Kluyveromyces lactis: one gene and its partners. The protein of the gene in region 3 interacts with the protein of the main gene of each other region in a pairwise test. Links are inferred from orthologs where the notes say so. Each region holds a gene or a part of one and is shown on either strand. Other genes may lie near its edges.

Region 1 (6,629 bases), on a different chromosome or scaffold from region 3:
CATTTATTCCGACCATAACACTGTGATCGAGGGGAGATCCACTATGTCTATAATCCTTTGATATTATAATTTTACCAGATTTTGGATTAACGAATGCCGATACTATTGGAAGTTGCATGCTATCCGAATCTCGGATTGCTCGAGACTCTTCTGCTATCTTGGTTAACAATGACCGAATCTCTGTCATGTCAAATATATAGTCGTTTAATATCTGGTCATTAGGATTTCCTCTCCAAATTAACGGCCAATACTGTTCACTCCACTTCAACATTAAGCTTTTAGTCGATGGACCGACCTTCGGTACTTTGTTATCGTCTTTCACATTGTCATACTGGAAAACGACTCCTTTCAGCATATTGTCAAAAGTTGATCTATCCGGTATGTACTCTTTGGAGCCGATAAGTACTCGTAGTGTGTCGCTATCAAGCTTCTTGATCCGTTTCACATGAAGGAATGAAACGGGGTCATTATCCTGAATACCTCGTACGAATGGTATCACTGACTTACTTTCCCTTGGACGTACTTCGATAGACCAAGCCTCAACTAGATCAGGCACATCAACGTTTTTGGTATCTCGAATTTGCCAGAGGCAATCTTCGACGATGCATTTTATAAAATCGATCTTAGTGGGGTTCAGATGTTTCTTAACCATACTGTTAGCTTTTCATGTGAATAACTAGTAAATCTAGAGCTATAATTAAGCATCCATTTCCTTTACCCTTTACATATTAGTATATCATCTCATCGCATCGCATCTTACATTTCTATCATTGAAAAATTCATATCCAGAAATTATAGGCTACGAAACACTATTTACCAGTTTAGATCATGCTCGTAAGAAAGATGAACACTGAGAATAATTAATAAGAACCTTAAATTGATCATCGAGATGACTAAGGTGACTTCGAATAATGACCTATATCAATTGGTTTAGATGAAAATTCTTGTCGAATATTTGGAATCTTTAGAGTGCTATGAAACCCTCAGAAAATCGGATATTCTGATCAATGCTGACTCTAATGGGGTATCCAATCTGTTACTCAGCTGTTTCGCACAAGTTAACAGCAAACATTGCGTACCTCCTGAAATTGAAATATCTTCTACTTTCAGCTCATCGTATCACTGTGAAACTATAGAAACATGCATTCTCTACCTTTTGCACAAGAATTTTACGAATAATATACTGACTTATGGTTACCAGCTGGGAAAGAATTCAGATGTCATGACCAAACTGTTTTGCCGTTCATCGAACATAAGCGTAAGTGTATTGAAATGTAATAGCTGGAGATTGTTCCATCAGCTGGTTGGCACTGACAATTTTGTGAATTTGTTAATCAACTATTCCGTATATTTCAACACCGGCCATTACTTCAGGCAGATAATTGGAACCCCCGCTAACGCGCCTCAGGTGCCACCTGCATGGCTAGATCGGTCGTATAGGAGGGAAAGAAATACTAAGCTAACGATAGATTGGAACTCTGCTCTATATCATAAGATAAGACCGCAAGATTACAAGAATATCATTGAGACTGATCAGGGGCTGTTAATAGCTGAGATTTTTCCGAAAATATCAGAGAGCAGTAAGACACCTCGTTCTCTAAACTTTGCATTGAATAATCTAAAACCCATTTTATATGAGCTCATTCGAGCTCACGAGAGGTTTTCATATAGACACATCATCAATAATATATGCCCCAAATCAGATACTTTCTATTCATCACCCAAAAGTGTCATCAAACTGCTCATTGTATGTGTTAGAAAAACGTTCCCATTGGACCTGTTAGGATCAAATTCAAACTATAGCGTTCTATCAAAAGCGATTGCAATACTTGTCAAAAAACCGCTCCATTCAAAGATACTATTTGATGAATTATGTAAAGGATTGCGTGTGAAAGATGTCAAATGGCTAGAAACAAGGCGGCTTCCAGCTGGTGAACAAACTCAAAAGATTCCATATTATGATGTGAAAAATCGACAAGCGCTTCTTTATAAACTGTTTTTTTGGATCCTTTCCTGTTACGTCCCAAAATTACTATCTACATTTTTCTATGTGACAGAACTATCGTCGACTGTCGATATAGTTTATATTCGTCATGATACTTGGAAAACCATGTCACAACCTTTTTTGAAATCTTACTTTAGGAGGTATTTGCTTGAGAATAAATATTGTTTCCAGCACAGATCTTTCACAGAATCCAAGTTCAATCACAGAAATCTTCGTTTAATACCAAAAAAATCAGGCCTCGATTTCAGAATAATAGCGGTGCCGTGTAAAGGAGTCAATATACAAGAGTTTAACGAGTTTAATGATTACGTTACGAACGCTCTGAAGCCCACCAAGATTATACTGGAAAGATTGAGGATGAGACGAAATACCAAGTTTACAAAAGCATTCTCTCCTTTGGAAATACCCAAGATTGTATTAAGTTATAAGCAAAGGCTACTTTTAAAACATGGTAAAATACCGAATCTCTATCTTTTAAAGTTTGACATTCAATCCTGCTATGATTCAATTCCGGTTCAGAAAGTAATGAAATTGGTAGAGGCTCGGATATGTGAAGAGCAGCAGTTTTTTATTAGATCTCAAGATATACTGACAACTGCTTCCACTCGTCTGAAAAGGCTTCATGCTGTAAATGGAGACATACAATTCCAGGAAAATGATTTAGTAATTGATTCAGTCAAAACTACTGTCTTATCAAAAGAAGACGTTTTAACAGTAGTTAAAATGGAACTCTTCAAAACCAGTATCTTTTACAGAGGCAAGTGTTACTTAAGAAAAGATGGACTCTTTCAAGGAACTCCCTTATCTTCCGTTCTTGTTGATATATTGTATGACGACCTACTTGAATTCTACACCGAGTTTACTGATGAAAATGATTCAGATCCGATGATAATACGGCTGGTGGATGATTTTCTAATAGTTTCAACTTCCAAGAAATACATCGAGCGGCTTAATAATCTGGCTCAAACAGGATTCAAATCTTTCAATACTTATATAAACCCACAAAAAGTCTTGGTTACTTCATCAGAATCTGAAACATCAACAAATGTACCTTTTTGTGCACTGCAGTTAAATCTAAGAACCCTAGAAGTTTGGAAAGACCGCTCATCGTATAATGTCCTAGGAACAGTTTTGGGATCATCTAAGCAACTGTATAATAAATTACTCTGGATCTTTGAGATGAGACTATCTTATAATATGCTGGACGAGCGCTTAAATTCTTGGGAAACGGCTGCAAGGTTCCTGAGAGAAGTTGCGTTAAATGTAATTCAATCGTTCATTGTCCTTTTTAATAGGAAGAAAAGCAGCAGAAGATCTTTCAAACAATTTGTTTTCAACATTTTTCAGCGAATTGATCTTAACCTCTCTTCAGCTAATATGTTCTCGATGGAAAAGTCCGTCGCGTCAAAAGAACTGGTGTTGTCAGTTTTCCTTGAACAATTAAAATTAAGGAAGAACGCATTTGCAGACATTTTGACAAATGTCAGCGATTTGAAACTATTAATAGAGTTTTAATGCTATTACTTAAAATTATTGTACCTATATCAGACCAAAATTAACACGCAGATTTTCTTCGTCTTTTTGTTTTCTTAGGCGTTCTATCTCCTCAATGCCACCGGCCTTTTTGAAGTTACCTTTCTCAACGAAATTGCCCAACTCATCTTCAAAGGCTTCATTTTCCTTGTACTCTTTCTCTCTGTTTCTTAGTTTTTCTGCCTTTTTAATGGCTTCCACTCTACTGTCATGATCTGGGTTGAGATTCTGAACTTCAGTCAAGACTTGATCGCGGATCATATTATATGTGCCTGGCTTGGCTATCGGAAGAATGGGGTTTCCCTTATTCTTCTTTGGGGCCTTTTCCTGTTGTTCGCAGCACAATTTAACCAAATCAAATGTCTCCATAACCTTATTCAAGTCTTCTTGTAAATCAAATACGAGATCTTCTTGCAATGTCATGAACTGTTGCTCTTCACACACCCTATCTAATTCCGCTTCCCAAATAGTTTTCCAATTTGGCTTTTCGACATCTATATAATTTCTCATTTGATCCAAATCCTTCTTAGCGGAGTCTAATTCAGACGATACATTTTCAATCTTCTTCTTGGGTGTTCTCGCACCTCTAATGGCCACATCTTTACGTAATGCCTCAATGACATCTTGAAGATCGTCAACTTTACTCAAAAGATTATCAGAAACTTCGGATAACTTCGACTGGGACTTTTCCATATAATCGCGATTAGCTGACTTTCCTGTAGTTATTGAAAGGCTCTGGAATTTCTGTAGTTTTTCCACGATAGCGTTTATAGTATTTTGAAGCGATCTCTTTTGGTCGCTATGTATCTGTTTTAAAACGGTAATTTCGTGCCTAATATGAGCAACTTCTTTACGATGATCCTCATGTATAACTGTTGCAGAATCTGAGGATTTTGGACCACTTGAATAATCTGGTGACGATACGTGAGTACTATTTTGGATAATCTCTTTCAAATTTTGAAAAATTGTATCTTGCTTTTCTAATAAACCATCTTGAAGTTGGCGGAACTGTTCATCTAGAGACGATGATTGTACCTGTAATTGGAATACGCTCCCATCTATTATACCATGTAGGTGACTCTCTTCAAGTTCGTAAAATGCCTCGTATTTGGGTTCCTTCACATATATGTCAGGGAATACATCACCTCCTGGGGAATATGCAAATTTCTCAACAAATAAAAGTCTAAGCTTGTTGAAAGAGAGGTGAGAACTAGTTACACATCGTTTCACCTTCTCACCGATCTTCAAAAAGACAACAATTTCATCTATGCTTGAGTTATCACCTTTTGGTTCTGGTGCTCCTGTCATGGGATGATAATCTACGGATGAAGCAGAAGAGATTCGAGAAGGCTGTCTTTCCATTTTAATGCTTTCTGTATCAGAAACATTGGCCGCTGCTGCCGCTGCAGCAGCGGCTGGAACTGCTAAATTTTTAGACGTTGGGGAATTCGATGGATCTGAAGCTGTTTGGTTGGCTAATTTCGCCATATGATACGCTGAAAACCTCTTCGAGGCTCTTCTTTGCAGATTATTTCCCTTTTTCAATTGAGTTAACGCATCGCTTTCAGAACCCTTGGGAACTTCTAACGTAGGTATCTGTTTTGTTTCAATATGAGCTGAAGTAGATGTCGGTCCCGCGCCAGCCAAAGATGTCGTTGCGCTGACTACGGATGAAACGGAAGATCTTTGAGGAGTATGCTGATATTTCAAAGCATCTTCATTCCTGCTCAGTTTTATCATCGCCTGTTTAACCTTAAGTTTCTCCAAGAGTTTAACTATAATATCTCTGATCTGCGGTAGGTATTTATTCAACGTTTCCTCAGATGCAGTCTCTCTCAATGCCACCTCCAATATTCTTCGAAGGTCTTTTGGCACATCGCCAAGATCCGAAATATCAATTCTAGCATGGGTAAAATGTCTACTGACTAACTTGAAATCATTACCCAATTGAACATACACATCGGAAACATTACGCTCGGTAACTTTGCCCTTGGACCATTGCGTCAGAATTTGTAATAGTTGTTTAGTTGAAATCAATAGTTTCGTCACACTAGTTTCCACAGATGATGCTGATTTAGAAATTGGTGGTGGTGTTTCCATCTTTATCAGACACACCTTACGTACCTCACCCTACTGCTTCCACACACCTAACTACTAGCTAGGAAATCCAACGTACACTTTTTAAACGGTATGTTTCTTCAAAGCATTACTAGATCAAAAAGCTTTAGGTTTGATTTGGTTTGCATAAATCTTTTGTTGATAAATATCAAGAAACGTAATTTCCTGAAGTTAGGCCGAGATAATGAAACAGGAAAGTATGGAAACTTACCATTTCAGAAGCTAAGCAACCAACAGAGACGTGTTACCGCGTATGACATATAGCGTGGTTTCTGTGGGATGAATCAGGACTCTGTAGTCCCCAATTCGGAGGCTAGTGATGAAGAGATCGTAATACCTCTGCATTCGGAACCAAATGTATTTCCAATCTTCGATGACGAATACCAGGTACGCGTCATTCCGGGCAGTCTCGATAACGTAGCACAGACACCTCCTGATATTGGAGTTTACTCTAATAGTATAAGACGTGCATTGAGAAAGCGTAAAGCAATCCAGAAGATGCCGTATAGTTTGGATAGAATACGGCATCGGCAGTTATTGCAAGGGTACGATGTATCTAATTTCGAATCTCTAGCAGATCATATCAATCTGCCGAGTGGTTCCCGGCAAGATATTACTGTTAATACGGACAATGGGGGCGTGCTCAATTCGAGTCCTGTGAAGGGCGGCCTTTCACAGCAAGAACACTCGACTATTGCGTCAACAAGGCTTCGAAGGCATCACCATTTCCATATTTCAGATGATGATGATGATGATGAGGTATATGGTAATGCTGAACTAGACAGCGATGAAATTCGTGACGAGTGTCATTCGGAAAGTGACTCGAATCAGTTTGATAGATCCAGTTTATCCTATGATGATAACGTTGTTTTTAGAGGAAGGCAAGTCAATATCAGAACAGGATACAAAGGTGTATTACCCAAAATGGCGTGGAAGAAAGCACTTGATAACAATACAGTTGAAAGTAATAGAC
Region 2 (6,770 bases), about 330 kb from region 3:
CGGTCATTGCTCTGGGCCAATCAAACTGGCTATTGGGACTTTGGTTGGCATTTGCCTGGACGTTAGAATAGTAATCCTGATCTTGTACTCTACTCACTTGTTCCAGTTTATTATCCACCTGTGATAATGAAAAGTCCGGTGAAGTGATTGTATTTACAACCGATTTACGTCTGGGGGCAAGCACGGGCGATTCCCTAGCAGACGCAGTGGTACTTTTCCCTGGCCTCCTCAACGGTGTTATTAACCCCGTTGTCTTGTCGTAGACTTTGTCGATGTTGAAAGATAATACCTGCCATAGAGGATCGTCCACGTTATCCCGTATCTTCCAGTTGTTCTCATCCAACTTCAAAAAATACCGATTGTACGGGCTCACGTCATAACTTAGCAATATCTCTTTCAATATCTGTTGAAATCGCTGAAACAATTCGATATTTGATTTGGGTACGTTCGATTGTTCATCTAAGGGTACGATTGTCACTAGAGCATCGTAAAGTTGTGAGAGACTTTGGAAATATTGCATATGACGTTCGTCCAAGGGTTTCAGCGATATAGGAGATTGCTGATTCGGACTAATCGTGGAATTCAATAGCTCGGGAAGCTCCAAGACTTCTCCGTTGGATATCAATTGGTAACCCTTGATCAAAAATACGTCGAGCTTGATCTGATGATGCATGATGCCTGTCGGACTACTATGTGAAGTGCTCCCGATATCAGACATGGCTCTTCCAGTATGTGTACGTAGCAGGGGAGGGCCGATCTTTGAAGTCCGTAACAAGCAGTTCAAAGACCTTAAGTATGCTGCCGCTTCCGCAGATTTTCTCGCTTACTGTGTATTTCTTTCTCTCTTTCTCTCTATCTTTCGTTTCGTTAAGGTGCAACATTTCCACATTGCATCACCTTATGTTCTAGCAAGAACTAAAAGCGACAAAATTGCAAAACAAAGACGCATCTCATTGAACACATAGAGCCCTTCTGCAAGGGCTAAAATCCGAAGCCTTTCATATGTAGACCAAGGCAGTACCAAAGCTAGCCGGACCTAGATCGAAGATCGTTATCAACTTATAACGTAATCCACTGACGGACATATACATTCACATCACTGAGACAGAAATATAAGTCACGTGAAGAAGTGGCGCCATATATATGTATATATGCCTTAGTTCCCCAATACATAGACTAGTTACGATATGTGGTTCATCGAACTGTAACCATTTGATGTTCCCATGTCACTGGTAACTTTTGTCCTTGCCTTAGGTATCTTTGAGTGTCTCATTTCCCATGGCTATGTTCGAGCCTTTTAATCGGTGAAAAGTTTCGAAACGGTTAATATCACGTAAAAGATATCAATTCCATATTTAAATTTAGACGAGAATGTAATTTGACTGAAACAACAACGTCTTTTGATAAAAAAAGTGTATTCTATACGTTGCAGAGCTACATTAATCAAGTGAACCATTGAACGAGACGAGTTTCAATCAATTGGATAGGAATCATTGTACTTTGGCGATTCTATTTAGAATATAATTGGAAGTGAAAAGTGAAGCCGTTTGATCTTGGAAGCAATAAAAAGATGTCCGCTAGTCCTGTATCTCAGGTATTCTCACCAAGCAACAATGGGGTCAGTGTGTTCCGTAGAAAGAAGGAGAAGAGAGGTATTACTTTCTCGATGATGTTGGTTGGTGCTTCTGGTACTGGTAAGACCACTTTCGCTAACAATTTATTGGAATCTACCATTTTCCCTCATAGATATCAACAAGATGTTCCAGCTAGCACGAATAACGAGAATGTTAAGATTATCCAACCAACTAAGGTTGTCACGTTCAATTCGATGAACGGTATTCCCAGCTACATGTCGGCATTTGATCCAGCCTCGCCGTTTTTGGAACCAGGTATCACTGTGACGTCTACTGCCCTGGAGATCACGACGAAATCTAGTGAGGATATCGATAGCGCTACCCCTGAAAAGATCAATTTCTTTCTCACCGACACCCTGGGACTGGGTGAAAACTTAAATAATGGGATCTGTTTCGATGAGATTGCTTCATATTTGGAGCAACAATTTGATTCGGTACTCGCTGAGGAGACCAGAATCAAGAGAAATCCAAGGTTCCAGGATACAAGAGTTCATGTCGCGTTATACTTTATTGAACCCACGGGACATGGGTTACGTGAATTGGATGTTGAAATTATGAAGAGACTATCCCGCTACACAAATGTTCTACCAATTGTCGCTAGAGCAGATTCGTTCACACCTGATGAATTGACTAGGTTCAAGAAGAGAATTATGGAAGACATTGATAGATTTAACGTTCCTATCTACAAATTCGAAGTTGACGAAAATGAGGATGATCTAGAAACAATTGAAGAGAACAAGGCATTAGCGAGACTTCAGCCGTTTGCTATTATCTGCGCCGACCAACGCGATAATGCTACCGGTAAATACTATCGTGAGTATCCATGGGGTAAAATTGACATCGATAATGAAAACATTTCGGACTTGAAATTGTTGAAAAGGGTTCTCTTCGGGTCCCATTTGCAAGAGTTTAAGGACACGACACAAAATCTGTTGTATGAAAACTACCGTGCTGAGAAATTGGCGTCTGTGCCAGCCTGGGACATTGAAAACAACGAAGTTATAGATACTTCTATCAATGACGAAAACAATGAGGGTAATTCTTCAGGGTTGATGAAAGGGTTGACTAGAAACAGTACAGCTCCATCCTTGTCAAATTTCGCCTCTCTAATAAATACAGGAAAGTTTAAGTCTCAACAATCACTTGCAATTCCACCTCAATCTGAAACCCCATCTACACCACGTCTAACCGGGGTAGATGAAGGAGATGAGTCTCGCGCTTCAATCTCTGCCAGTTCACAGAAATCTACTCCTGCCAATATTCAAACTTCTCCAGAAAGAACAAAGTTACGGAATATTTCCGAAAATATCCCATACATGCTTCAGCACGAGCGCATAGTAGCAAGGAAACAAAAGCTTGAAGAATTGGAGGCACAATCTGCCAAAGAGTTACAAAAGAGAATTCAAGAACTTGAAAGAAAGGCTATTGAATTGAAGATGAAGGAAAAGCTACTAAGACAAAACTCACATAGTCAATCTCAAGAATCTATCCAGACTAATACAACTAAACAAAATTCAACTTCTGGAGGTGCTTACATTAAGAAAGAGGAAACCTATAACGATTTAGCTTCGATAATCAGCAAAAAAGAATGAATTCAGTCTTGATATCTTTCTTTGGCATTTTTGTAAGTCGAAGTGTTTGGTTCCTGAAACGATTTCATATGTAATTTAAACAATATTGATTATTTTGTATATTGCAAACGGTCACGTCTAGATTGATCTGCTACCTGTTTCCAAATTTGATGAGTTTAAGATGGTGATGTAAAAATCAGAAAAATATACGTACTGTTACAGGTATATATATATATATAATATAATAATGAGTTAAGGTATTTTCGTGCCACTTATCAATAAATGGAATTTATCTGTTCAGATGACATAGTATTATGAGATAAAAAAGATTGGTGAAAAATTTATGTTCATCCAGTGCTTCAAGATAAAAAATAGCTAGTGTAACTGGAGAGAACTAAGAAAACCGAAAAATGCAAAATAATGTTCCCGATGGCAATTAAAAACATCAAGAAACAACATTCATTCAGCGACGATGAGAAAAGGCACTGGGGGAAATAATAGGAAAAGAGATTTAACCGAATTGAAAAATGGTTGCAAAATAACATTAAAGAGTTGGAAACAAGACATAATTGATCAATAAAGACTTCAAGTGCGAACATAAGTCATTTTAACAACGCAAAAAAGGGTTATGACGACGTAAATATGAAGTGTAAGAAAAAGGCAATGGGAAGATGATCTTTTTATAATATTTTTCATTTGGAGAATGCATTTTCGTAGGAGTAATTGGTAGTAGATGACTTTAGATCATTAGTGACTCCATTTGCAAGAGTGGCAATGCTACTATTGTTACTACCAGTGCTTCCATTATTATTGTTGCTTGAACTTGGATTGCCGCTGATAGTTTTACCATTTTGAGCATTATTTGAGTTGCTAGTTGGTTGGCCAGAACCACTGCTTCCACTCCTTCTGCTGTTTGGACCACGAACACCAAGTGGGTTTTTAGAGAAACTCAATCTAATTCCACCTTTGGTGTTGTGTGCGCCAACTGGTCTTGGTAATTGACTACCATATAATTCGGCTAGAGCTCTTGTAGCATGTGCGACGTCTTCAAACTCAACAAAGCACATAGGACCATGCCCACTGTTATTGTTGTTCTTGTTTCTGAATGATAACCTCTTGAATCCTTTTTGACCTCCAAATAGTTGTCGTAGTTCTTGTTCGGTGGCATCTGGAGGTAGGTTACCCACATAAAGTGTATTGCAAGGTGGATTTTGATCGGCTGGATTGGCTGGAGGAGGAACTCTTGCTAACAACGATAAGTCCACCTGAGAAATTCCAGGAGTATTCTGTAAAACACTTGCCACACTTCTGGTGATAGGTTGTGACTGAGTAGAGTTGTTAGCGTTAACATTAGTTGCAGATGAAGAATTACTAATGTTGGTTCTGCTGCCAGATTTATGAGGAGTATGCGACGTTGATGAAGTTGGTGTTACAGGTTTAGAAGACACAGAAGCTGAGGACCTACCGTTCATCTGTTGGGCGACACCGACCTGTGAAGATGGATCAGAGTTTGGCGGTAAATTTGTCGCACTTGAATTGGCCTGTTGAGGGCCAGAGAAAACGGAACTGCTTTGCTTTCTAGCAGCACCATTCTTGGATGCAGACCAATCTACAACTGCATTTTGTTGTTGTTGATTGTACGTGGTATTTACCATGTTGTTCACAGTAGAGAGTGAAGGGTTTGATCCCCAAATTGTGTCATTAATGCCATCTCCTTCCATTAACAAGAATGATTTACCAGCATCGATGTTTTGCAGTGGAGTTTGAGCAGACGTTTGTGCAGGTGGAATATGTGGATTTTCTGCGCTGAAGGGATCAGAAAATGAGAATCTAGACCGTTGTCCTAGCAGACTGGGCCTTTTCCGACTTGATGATTGGGGAGGCGATGTCAACGTTGGAGCAACGTTTGAGGATACGCTTCCGGATGATGGTATTTGAAATGAGTTTGTGTTCAGTTGTGGCTGCAACTGAGGTGAGTTTGTCTGGAAAAACAGCTGTTGATTAGTTAATTCGTCGATGACCTCCACCGCCACCTTGAATGGATATGCTGGACCGAATATTTGGGATTTGATATTAAGAATAGAGGCATATTGGCATGCCAAATGCTGAGATTCAAATTTTGCCACCACGTACGGTTGGTTATCTTCATGAGGTATCACATCAATGGATAGTACACCATGAGCCAATGAGAAAAGGGCATAAGCCTCCCTCAAGTTTATGTCGGTAGGAATATTGCGCAATATCAATAGATAACTACCAATGGATGGGGTTTGTGGTTGATTTCCAGTGTTAATGGATAATGTGTTCAGTACCGATGAGAGGTTTAGTGGTGAACCACTGTGGTCCGAGTGGTGGCGAGGTATTGTCGAACCATTTGCATGTGTTGGCGATGCGTTGCTGGGATTAACTGCTGATAACTGTTCAGAGCTAGTACTGAATCCACGATGCAGCTGATAAGTTGTATCGAAGGAAGGATGGATCATCATGGGGTTTTCGTTGATGTTATTGGAGTTTGGATTTGAGTTGATATTGCTTATTGGCATATGAATGATGGCCTCGTCGTAAGAATGATCAATGTGTGGAAATGTGCACTAAAGTAACACTAATGCCAAAAAAAGACGATAAATGAGATGAAGAGCGAAGATTCACTTTTTGTCAAACGCTCAAGAAACTCAATTAAATAGCAGAACAGAATAATCACCAAAGAAAACAATGTTTTGCTTTCGACAAAATGCTGAATAATTGTTGAACTGTGTGGTGTCTCTCTATCGACTGGAGTTCTTCTCTAAGGTTAGAATATTGGTGGATGAGTTCACTGTTTTTTTAACCAATCACAAAAGGATGGGAAGCAGAAAATAGAAGAATAAACTGCTATTCTCCAGGTACGTGAACGAGTGAAGTACGCAACTCCTATCTCACTGTTACAAAATACAATTGATAATGTTCTGAAACAGGACTGTACTCCTATGATTCACAAGAAGAATGAGACTTTTTTCCTTCTTTTCCCTCTTCTCTTTTGTTTCTTGAAAGTTTTATGTAACCCTTTTGTTCTTTAGGAAGTAATTAATTTTTTTTTATCAAAAAAAAAATTCCTTTAAAAGATATCGATCGAGATGGGTTATTTCCAAGAAAATAGTATGTTTCCAAAAACCAAAAAAAACAAAGATGAATTTTAAGAAAAGGAAACGAAATGATAAAATAGGTATAACAAAGAAAACAGAAATGAAATCTTACGCTCAATGAGTTTTTTGGACTTAGGCCTCTAGAATTGATTGATCTTGGTCAATTAATGGCCTTTCGTTTCTTCCTGTTACACTGTCGCCAAAAAATCCTTGTAAAGACAGTTTTCTGTCGGAACACGCTATTTCGTAATGCTGTTATTTTTCCTGTTTTTCTCTAATTCAGCGACTTTAGTGCCCTGTAAGTCGATGCTCTGAATTGGTGTCTCTGTCACTCTGCTCGAGTTTGCTCGTGTCGGTGATAGTAAGTATACGGAAATATAAACAACAAATAACTGATGAGCTTCAACGGTGACCGGTGTTTGCAGCTATGTTTGTGTAAGCAG
Region 3 (8,884 bases):
AGGCCATCACTGGAGACCAAGATTTGCCATGTCAGCACTACTGTTCGTTTCAAGTCTACTATTGTAATTGAACCTTCTTTGATAGGTTTTTCACTCGTTTACCCACTACTCATCCCTCCATTCTAATTCAATCGATCACTAGTGGTGAAAATAATGTAACTTAATGTAACTCAAAAGAACAACATATATACTATAATAATGATATGCATAATTTGAGACAATAGGTGATTCTCGCTCGTGAAAGAAAATTTCGAGAACTTCAAGAGTCCGCTGTCTTACCTGGCATCCTTAATTGGCGGTGCTAGTCCAATATCCCCCGATTAGCATAAAAGCTTGCTTCGATCTCAGATCCAATACTGATTTCTCATTATTAGTGTGAAACCGGACTTTGTATTACGTACCCTTTCCACTGTCATATTTCCAACTTCTATTTATGTCCTGTTCTAGTTCTAATTACACTAGCTCCAGTCTAATGGATCCTTCCTCCACTTTTTTATTTTCCTTTCTTACGTCTTCGGATGTCTTGAAATGCAATATTTTCGTATTTTAGGTTCCTTCTATTAGTAGAAGCTCTTTAAGGTTTTAAGGTTGCTTTCGATTTTAAGGTCATGTGAGAAAAGCACGTAAGATAATGAACGCTTGCTTGGCTTGGTTTAATTTTGTTTCGGGGCGGAGCTCCCCTGGATCGATTGGCCCAATCTAGTCCGTCCGTTCTCCTACTCTCGTGTCCTTTTTTTTTCCGGATCGTACTGCGATCCAGAGATTCCTTTCGTATTTGAATTTCCAGATTTGGCCAGATCGAGACTTAAGTAATCATTTGCTTTTAACTCTGGTGGTACTTACAGATCTAGCGATCTCATTCGGTTCATTGTCCCATAACCGGTGAAGCAAGCATGTAATTTAGAATCTCGAGACACATGCGGCAGCAATACGTGGAGAAGAGGCTAAACCGCTTGGTATCATTTTTTTTTTTTTTAATTTTGGCATTTCGTGCTTGAATAATGTCTGAGCTTCTTTAGGTTCAGCAGTTTGGGAATACATTCTAAACAAGAATTTGAAGAAATTACCTTTGTTTGAAACAGAGGCTGTTCTATATTTAGCTTTTATTATTCTTCTAGCTATTTTTGTGTTTTTTTGGCTAGTTGGCGATGCTTCGAACGTGTGTTGGTGAGAGAATCTTACTTCATAAGTCTTTCAATTCTTACCTATAGTAGTAAGTGAAATTCCAGATTCAGTATTTCTCGAAGCAAGGCAGTTCAGCATGCAATTTAAAGTTCAATACGCCTGGACTTGGTAATAAGCCATAAGCGATTACAGCTTCTTGTGATGCTGAATGAATCTAATATATAAAGGGAGCGTTTGTTATCTGGTAAGATCACAATTTCTCATCTAAACTCGGCTTATACGTATATTCATTATTATATGTTCTCTCTCCTAACAGCTGCAATATACAAGATCAATAGTTTCATTCACACTAGCCACCAAATTAATATAACAACACAATAATGTCTTTTGCCTCAATCTCTCTAGTACAAGCACAAGCCGTCGCTGCCTCCTCTGTTTCCTCATCTGCCTCCTCTGCTGTTGGCTTAGTTGGAAACGGTGGTTCCAGTACCATTGAAACGAGCTCTGGTGCTGAATCTACTGGTGTCGTTTCCTCTGTCTCTACTGGCTCTGACGCTTCCGGTGCCTCCGATGCTTCTGCTTCCGATGCTTCTGCTTCCGATGCTTCTGCTTCCGATGCCACTGGTGCTTCTGGCACTTCTAGTGCAACTGCCTCCGGTGAATCTGGTGCTTCTGATGCTTCTGGTACCTCTAGTGCTACTGGCTCTGGTGAAACTGGCTCCACATCTACAGGATTCATTACTTCCGATTCTTCTGCTTCTGCTACCGGTTCTTCTACTGCTGCAGTAACAGGTGATAACAGCACTGCCACTGACAATGCTGCTCCAGGTATGGTTGCTAACCCAATCAACTCTAAGTACAGTATCCTATTCGCTTTGATGATGGCTGGTTCTTTCATCTTCGGCGCTGGTATCTAATCGAACAGCGATGAAAAACACAGACTGTCACTTTATTTTCCCATCTTTTTCAATACAAATGTCATCATGTCCAACATGATCCTAGATCATACTTGACTATTCATCCATGCATCGGACACCCTAATCATCAGTTTCTCCAATAGTACTCTGATGTGGTCCCTTTTCTATTCCATTTTATCTTTAACTTCATTATTCCTCTGTTATCGGTCTGTAAATTATAAGTTTGACATACATAATCTGTATCTTAAAATCTCTATATTAAAGTTTTAAAAGTAAAATTCTTCTATACATATACATACGTTTGCCAGTGACATAACATAATACACCCGGCTCGATCAGAATAGGAAGTCGTCATTTCATACTTACAAGCTTGTTCACTTGCATTCTGGCTATACCTTGCTGATTTCTACTCCAGGCTCATCATCGATTTCTAGTACAGCATATTATAATCCTCCGTTGCCAACCACTATAAAAAACGAAATTCACCTGAGACACTCAAGAATGACTAACTTTGTTGTTGCACTGTGGGAAAGCATTTTCCAACCAGGAACATCGCCTCAATTGATCATTGCTACTCATATCTCGTTTGCACTATTGCTTTGCGTGTTGGGATCGCAGATCTATTTAACCAAAAATATCCATTTCATCGCATTAACGATTATCGCCACTCTACTATGGATCACCGTGACGTGGTTCATCTACGAATTACAAAACACAAAGCTTGTTACCAACGAAGATCTACAAACAGCTGAATCTAAAAAGACTGATAAGACTGAGCCTTCCAAGCCCTCTGAAGAGATAAATCTAGAGGGTGTTGCGAAACCTGATCCTAAACCATCATCTACACCTAAAAAAAGGAAAACAAAATCAAGAAGAGCTTAAGCTGGTGATAAACCATTCTCTCACCTGAGCAACTTTCTGATTAGACTACATTGGACAGTAAGTAAAATCATTTTTAAACGCAATAACCACTGCATAGACTTGTAACATTTGGGAACCATATAAAATTTAATTCAAATACAAAGGTTGCAGAAGCCATTATTTCGTCAGATTACTACGATCTATTATATACAACGTTGTGTAAAGGCACATCCTAAATAGCTGCCTTCCGTTTCCTTTTTCACTCTTCGTTATTGTTTCATGCATAATCCATACATTTCATGTTCGCTCGGAACTTCTATGGCATTCAGATTTCGTTTTGAGAAAAAAAAAAAAATATGAACGGAAAGTAAATGAATCTTAGGTCTGTTCAAACAATTTAGGAATCAGTTTGAGTTTTGGACTTAGTCACTATTAATAGGTTGTATTTCCTTTTATCTATTCTCTTTCTAGTACAGTCATTTAGCCTAGGTTCTGGCAGAATTTATAATCCAGAGGAACCAATCCACAGTACGAGTGTAATTGACTTATTCCCTACCGATTTTGGAACGCTTCTTTGGTACATCAGGACTTTTGATAACAACTTAGAGGTAAGTCCTTAGATTGTTTGTTTGTCATTGTTAAAGGAACTTTTCTATACGTAAGTGCAGCTCATTTTACAACTAGCCATCTTTTCGTTTCTTGTAGGTTGTGCTTTATTTCTAACCTTTTCTGATCGTGGAATATGGATGCCGGTGTTACTGCGCTTGATCAACGACGTGGAGCGGGCATGTCTTCCAAGGCCCAGCTGCGGAACCAGTTACTTCACAGCGATATAGGGAATATTGATATTACTAAGGAGCAGCAGATAAACAAGCAGAAGGGAAATACAGGCCCCATGGCCCCACCTGTAGTTCCGTTACAAGCCCAGCAGTACGAGTCCAATTACAACCCTTCGTCATATAATTACATGCAACAGCCTCGACAACAATCTCTGCAGATGCAACCAAGACCACATTTTGATTACCCAGGAGACAGTAGTAGGAAATCATCCATGAGTTCTTCTACTGCTTCCTTCTCTAATTTCTTCAAGGGTAAATACAAGAAACTCAATCAAAAGAGACACAGTCAATATGACGAAAAAGCTAATGAGGATGACGATAATACAGACTTTTCGGATCATGATTCCTCTTTCCTTACATTCAATGATATTTCTTCCATGAGAAACAATGGTGGGCACGCATACGGTTACGGTGGACATCTAGATGATACCTCTCCAATAATACCGACCATCGTGACTTCCGGAAACACAAACTCAATGAACAATATAGAATATAGAAAACTTATGATGAATCAAAAGAAAATGGCATTTAACAGTCTTGCGAAGCAGCAGCAGCAGCAAGCGCAGTTCAGTGCCTCAGTTCCAGGTGGTCCTAGAACAATGTCCTTGCAAAATTATCATCAACGTCCTATGGTAAGGCCTGGTGTTTCTGGCCCGGGAACAATGATGGGTCCAGCAGGCCCTCAGCAATCAAGAATCCCTAGGCCTCCAAACGGTAGCAGATTCAACTCTTTGATGGGAGGGGGGGCTTCGCCGATGGCTGGTAGACCAGGGTATCCTCCCCAACAAGGTCCTCCAAATGACCCACGCACAATGTCGTTAACTGCTGACAGACGTCCACCAACTCAAATGAACGGAAATTCACAGTTTAGAAACGGTTATCAAGGTCCGTATGCCGCGTCACCAACAGGATCCCGTAACATGGGTTTTCCTGGTCAAGTTAATGGACCAGTGCCGGCAAGAGGTCCACCTGTTACTGGTAGCTCCCAATATGGTCCAAACTCTGGTCCAAGAGCCATGTCCCTGCAAACTCAATCGTATCCGCAACCATTTTATCAACCAAAACAAAATGTATCGCAGGATAATGTATTCAATGAAAGACAAGCAACAAGCTCATTAGCCCCTCCGCCACAACCACAGCAGCTGGTGAATAAGGCGGCATCGGGCTCATCCTCTTCATATGCCAGTGTGAATAGCGTCATTTCTGGTAGGGTTTCTGAACAAAGTTCTCCGACAACTCCCTCGAACGCATCATTCGATGAACAAAATCAGATACCATCACTGCCAAGATCACCGGTGAAATACCAACTACATGCCACTTTGTCGAATGATAATGAGGACTTTGAAAAAGACAAGGCTCTTCCTAGCTTTAACGAGGAAGAAGAAGATCAACAAACCTACAGCGGGAATAAGGATCATTCACATAGCGATGAGCAATATGATTCTGATTCATTGGTGAAATTGAATATATTAACGTTAAGTGAACCCGCAAGACAAGTGTTGCAGATCGAGGAGGAAAAAACGGAAAAGGAATACGACCTAGTGGATTCCTCGGAAACGAAAAGCAACCAGCAAGATTCTTTGAATGATGACATAAATCTCAGGCCATCCACCGCCTTGATACAAAATATTCCCGTGGATCTATCACCAATATTAAATCCTGAAATCTCGGACAACTCTTCCAGTCGAAACTTTGGCGACAACGTCAATAGAACTGAATCAATTGTATCAAAAGCCCATGCGGCGGTCGACAGTGGGAATAGTAATACTAACGAAGTACTACAATCAAAACATGATTCCTATATCGCATGTTCTGGTGAAAAAGGCTTGAAGAAATCAGGCAGCAGTTTCCAGAAAGCGAAGAACTTTTTGATGAAGATCAAAAGGACGAAGAGTGGCGATCAAAGACCGCTCACTACTGTACCTTCGTCCGCTAGAAGCAGCAGGAGTTCGATGGCAGTAGATGAAGGATCCGAAATCCAGTTAAATGATACTTTCAGGGCGAAATCGGGTGCATCCAGCGATAAACGTAGAATATCATATCATTCTCTTTTTTCCGCGTCATCTGCTGGTAATCACCACGACCAATATAGTAATAAGGAAAAGACATTTGACAGATCAACTTTGCAAATTCGTAAGTCGATGATTATTGGTGAAAGCACAGAGATACAGGAAGTGCCTTGTCTTGAGAAAGAATATGTAAAACAGAAGGCTGAACCTATTTCCGCGTTGCCATATAAGCCATCTTTTGCTTCTGAAAAGGATCCCAAACAACCCCTGTTGATCACTGAAGAGTATTTGAATATTTTGAAACAAAATATGATGTTGATGCAAGAGCTACAATTGGTTTCCACGGAATTAGCCGAGTCTATCGCAAGGGAAGGTAGATTAGAAAGTGAATTAGAATCAAAGAATCCGAAGGAACCAGAGTCACCTCAGGCTCTTTCTCTACTGGATTTCGAAACGGAATTAAGGAAAAAATCGTCAAAGATTGTTGAGTTGATTCAAAATTTGAACGAAGAAAGGCTCAAACGTTTCATTGCAGAAGAACAGAATTTATTATACCAACATGGTATAAAGCCATCTCCTAACGAACTCGCCCTTCAAATAAATGAGCTGAAGACGCAACTGCAGTCCAAAGATCTACTGATAGAACAGTTGCAGAAGCAAGTACATGATTCTTGAAGCAAAATGAAAAGAATCCATGTATGGTTCGTTCCGATTTTGAAGGTCTCGTTATTTCTGCGATTTCTTTTCCAGTCAAGCATATACCTATATAATTTGGGAAATATACATATATATGTTAAAAAACGTTGAAAACACATTGTTATCTAATTATGGTAATCTACAGGCTGTGAAACCCTGACATTCGTAAGCTTTAACAATTTCAACTATGTACCTGTTGGCCTAAGTATCGAATGGCATTGATTGTCTGGTCGTCTCCATAACAAGAATTCAAAATGAAAATTGAAAAAAAATTAAAATATATGAAAACACGAATTCATAACGTTACAATCAAGATTTTGCCAACTGATATCAGTATTATATCCAACAATACGCCATCAAGTACCCGAGAGATGTCAAAAAGAGGTTTTGGTATGTTTAATTTATGTCACCATTCAAGACGTTAGAGTTTTGCATTGTTTTTTGAAGGTTCTATCCATCTCTGACGTATTGTTATATCAGATTTAAGTTTTCCCTTAGTACAACTGACAGCGACGTCAGCAAAGAGAGACAGATGACAGACGGTTCCAAGATTGCCACAAAACACACATCTAGACTAGAGAGACATCCCATCGACAATCGGTATAAATACTTCAAGTTTTCGGTATGATTTACTCTGAATAATATCGAAGAAGTTTCGTTAAAAGTAGTCGGTTGGTTGACACTTTGGTTTAGAACTCAGAGAGAAAGCAATAGTATCAGATATATATCTGAGACTTACATTAACGTTTTCCAAGGAAAAGCATATAATTACTAACAACTGTTTCTGAAACACAATGATTCTTGTAGATTATGAAGAAGAGAGTGGTTATCGTGAAGCGAGGCCACATTTTGCCAAAAGGCAAAGGCTGCCACCCGTTGTCATGCTTTGTAAGGACATGATGCCTGATATCAGGACCATGGGTGAATCGGCCAAGGCTTTTCCAGAAGATATCAAGTTCCTAAGTGAGGCCATTGTTCATGAATTCGGTAATGACGAGTATTTCAACAACGCACTTTTGAAAACTTTCAGAGCAGTTATCTTGGAACAACCTCATAAGCAACCAGGTATTGCTCTTTTAACCATGGTGCTAAATTCAGCTAAACCAGAAATTGGTAAAAGTATTTTGAATTATTTCTTTGACCAAATTCAAGAGTTACTTAATTCAAGTCATGACCCCGACTACCAAACCAAATCTCATGATATTGGACCATGGGATAAAATTAAGTTAGTACTCAGATTTATCTCCATTCTATCGCCAATGGTGGTACCAGATGATTTGCTTGACTTGTACAAGAAATTATTGCAGTTTACCGTCGATTTAAACAATTCCACGGAGAAAAGATCCCCACTTTCTGAAGCCATCTATACCAACACCTTGTTGAACGTTCCATATTTGTTCTACTTCAACTCGGATAATCGTGAATCGTTAAAAACTTTAGTTGAGGAGTTACTCACTTTTGTCGAAAACGAATATAACATTAAAGATACTGATATTCAATTGCTCAAAGCATACAATAAGAACCCACCATATGAACCAGTTCATTGGGTTACTGCTGTCTTGCCAAATGTCAAGAACGCATTGGCAAACGATATGCAACAACTAGGCGAGCTTTTCCTGAATTATGACACCTTATTGACCCAACAAATAGCAATTCATTCTTTTAATGAGCCGTTGAATCTACCAACTTTAGAACAAATTATTCCATTTTCAGGTTTAGACAAAGGCTTCGGTTCAGTCGATAGTCTATGGAAAACTCCAAGATATTCATTCGAGGTTTACTTACCGAACAGTGTGGGTCCATTTTCTACCGTGATACCAACTACCACCTTCACAGGTATGTTATTTCAAGATATTCTTCTTGATATAATCGAAAGTATGGAGTTCAATAGACTTGAAGTTGCGAGACAATTAGTAACGATTGATCTTTTCTTCACTGCGGGTATTTTCACTGAACCGGGCCTTCCTGTCGCCCAACTCTTGGAACAATTTGAAGAAAACCCAGCAAGAAGTACTTTCAAAATCGAAGATTTAGCCGTTGGTGCCATCTTAGAATTAACTTTTAAATTACCTACTGTTTCTCAATCTTTTGCCTATTTCTATTCTCTTTTGGTAGAAATTTGCAAGAACTCGCCAAAAGCTATTGCTCCTGTTTTCGGTAGAGCTTTCAGATATTTCTATAACAATTTGGATAAACTAGACTTCGAGTTAAAAGCTAGGTTCCTAGATTGGTTCTCAATTCAAATGAGTAACTTCAATTTCTCATGGAAATGGAATGAGTGGGAAGTTGATTCCATTCAGTGGAATAGAACTATTTACAATCCAAGAATGATATTCATTAAGAATTTGATCAGAAAGGAATTAAGATTAACGTCCAATTCTGCTGATGTTGAAGAAAGTGTTACTGATGAATTCCAAAAATTCATGGATCCATCTTT

The links. The genes of interacting proteins can lie anywhere in the genome.
Region 1: the proteins of KLLA0_F17545g (region 3) and BUD6 interact in a protein complementation assay, tested with the Saccharomyces cerevisiae proteins (3 studies listed by BioGRID). The link is inferred for Kluyveromyces lactis from reciprocal best matches to the Saccharomyces cerevisiae genes EPO1 and BUD6.
Region 2: the proteins of KLLA0_F17545g (region 3) and SHS1 interact in binary tests that used the Saccharomyces cerevisiae proteins (3 or more experiments, as listed by UniProt). The link is inferred for Kluyveromyces lactis from reciprocal best matches to the Saccharomyces cerevisiae genes EPO1 and SHS1.

The regions. Positions count from the first base shown.
Region 1 is NC_006039.1:1,621,756-1,628,384, reverse strand, and holds BUD6 (formin-mediated actin nucleation enhancer), read right to left. Parts: upstream 5,639-6,629; coding exon 3,545-5,638; downstream 1-3,544. Other genes in the region: TAD3 (Tad3p), read right to left, coding at 1-652; EST2 (telomerase reverse transcriptase), read left to right, coding at 935-3,520; MMS22 (Mms22p), read left to right, coding at 5,936-6,629.
Region 2 is NC_006042.1:1,938,119-1,944,888, forward strand, and holds SHS1 (septin SHS1), read left to right. Parts: upstream 1-1,570; coding exon 1,571-3,226; downstream 3,227-6,770. Other genes in the region: GCR2 (Gcr2p), read right to left, coding at 1-718; KLLA0_F20834g (uncharacterized protein), read right to left, coding at 3,898-5,748. UniProt on the Saccharomyces cerevisiae protein: Septins are GTPases involved in cytokinesis that assemble early in the cell cycle as a patch at the incipient bud site and form a ring approximately 15 minutes before bud emergence, which transforms into an hour-glass shaped collar of cortical filaments that spans both sides of the mother-bud neck.
Region 3 is NC_006042.1:1,607,381-1,616,264, reverse strand, and holds KLLA0_F17545g (uncharacterized protein), read left to right. Parts: upstream 1-3,645; coding exon 3,646-6,426; downstream 6,427-8,884. Other genes in the region: KLLA0_F17611g (uncharacterized protein), read left to right, coding at 1-67; NCW1 (Ncw1p), read left to right, coding at 1,506-2,042; PKR1 (Pkr1p), read left to right, coding at 2,544-2,924; STO1 (Sto1p), read left to right, coding at 7,242-8,884.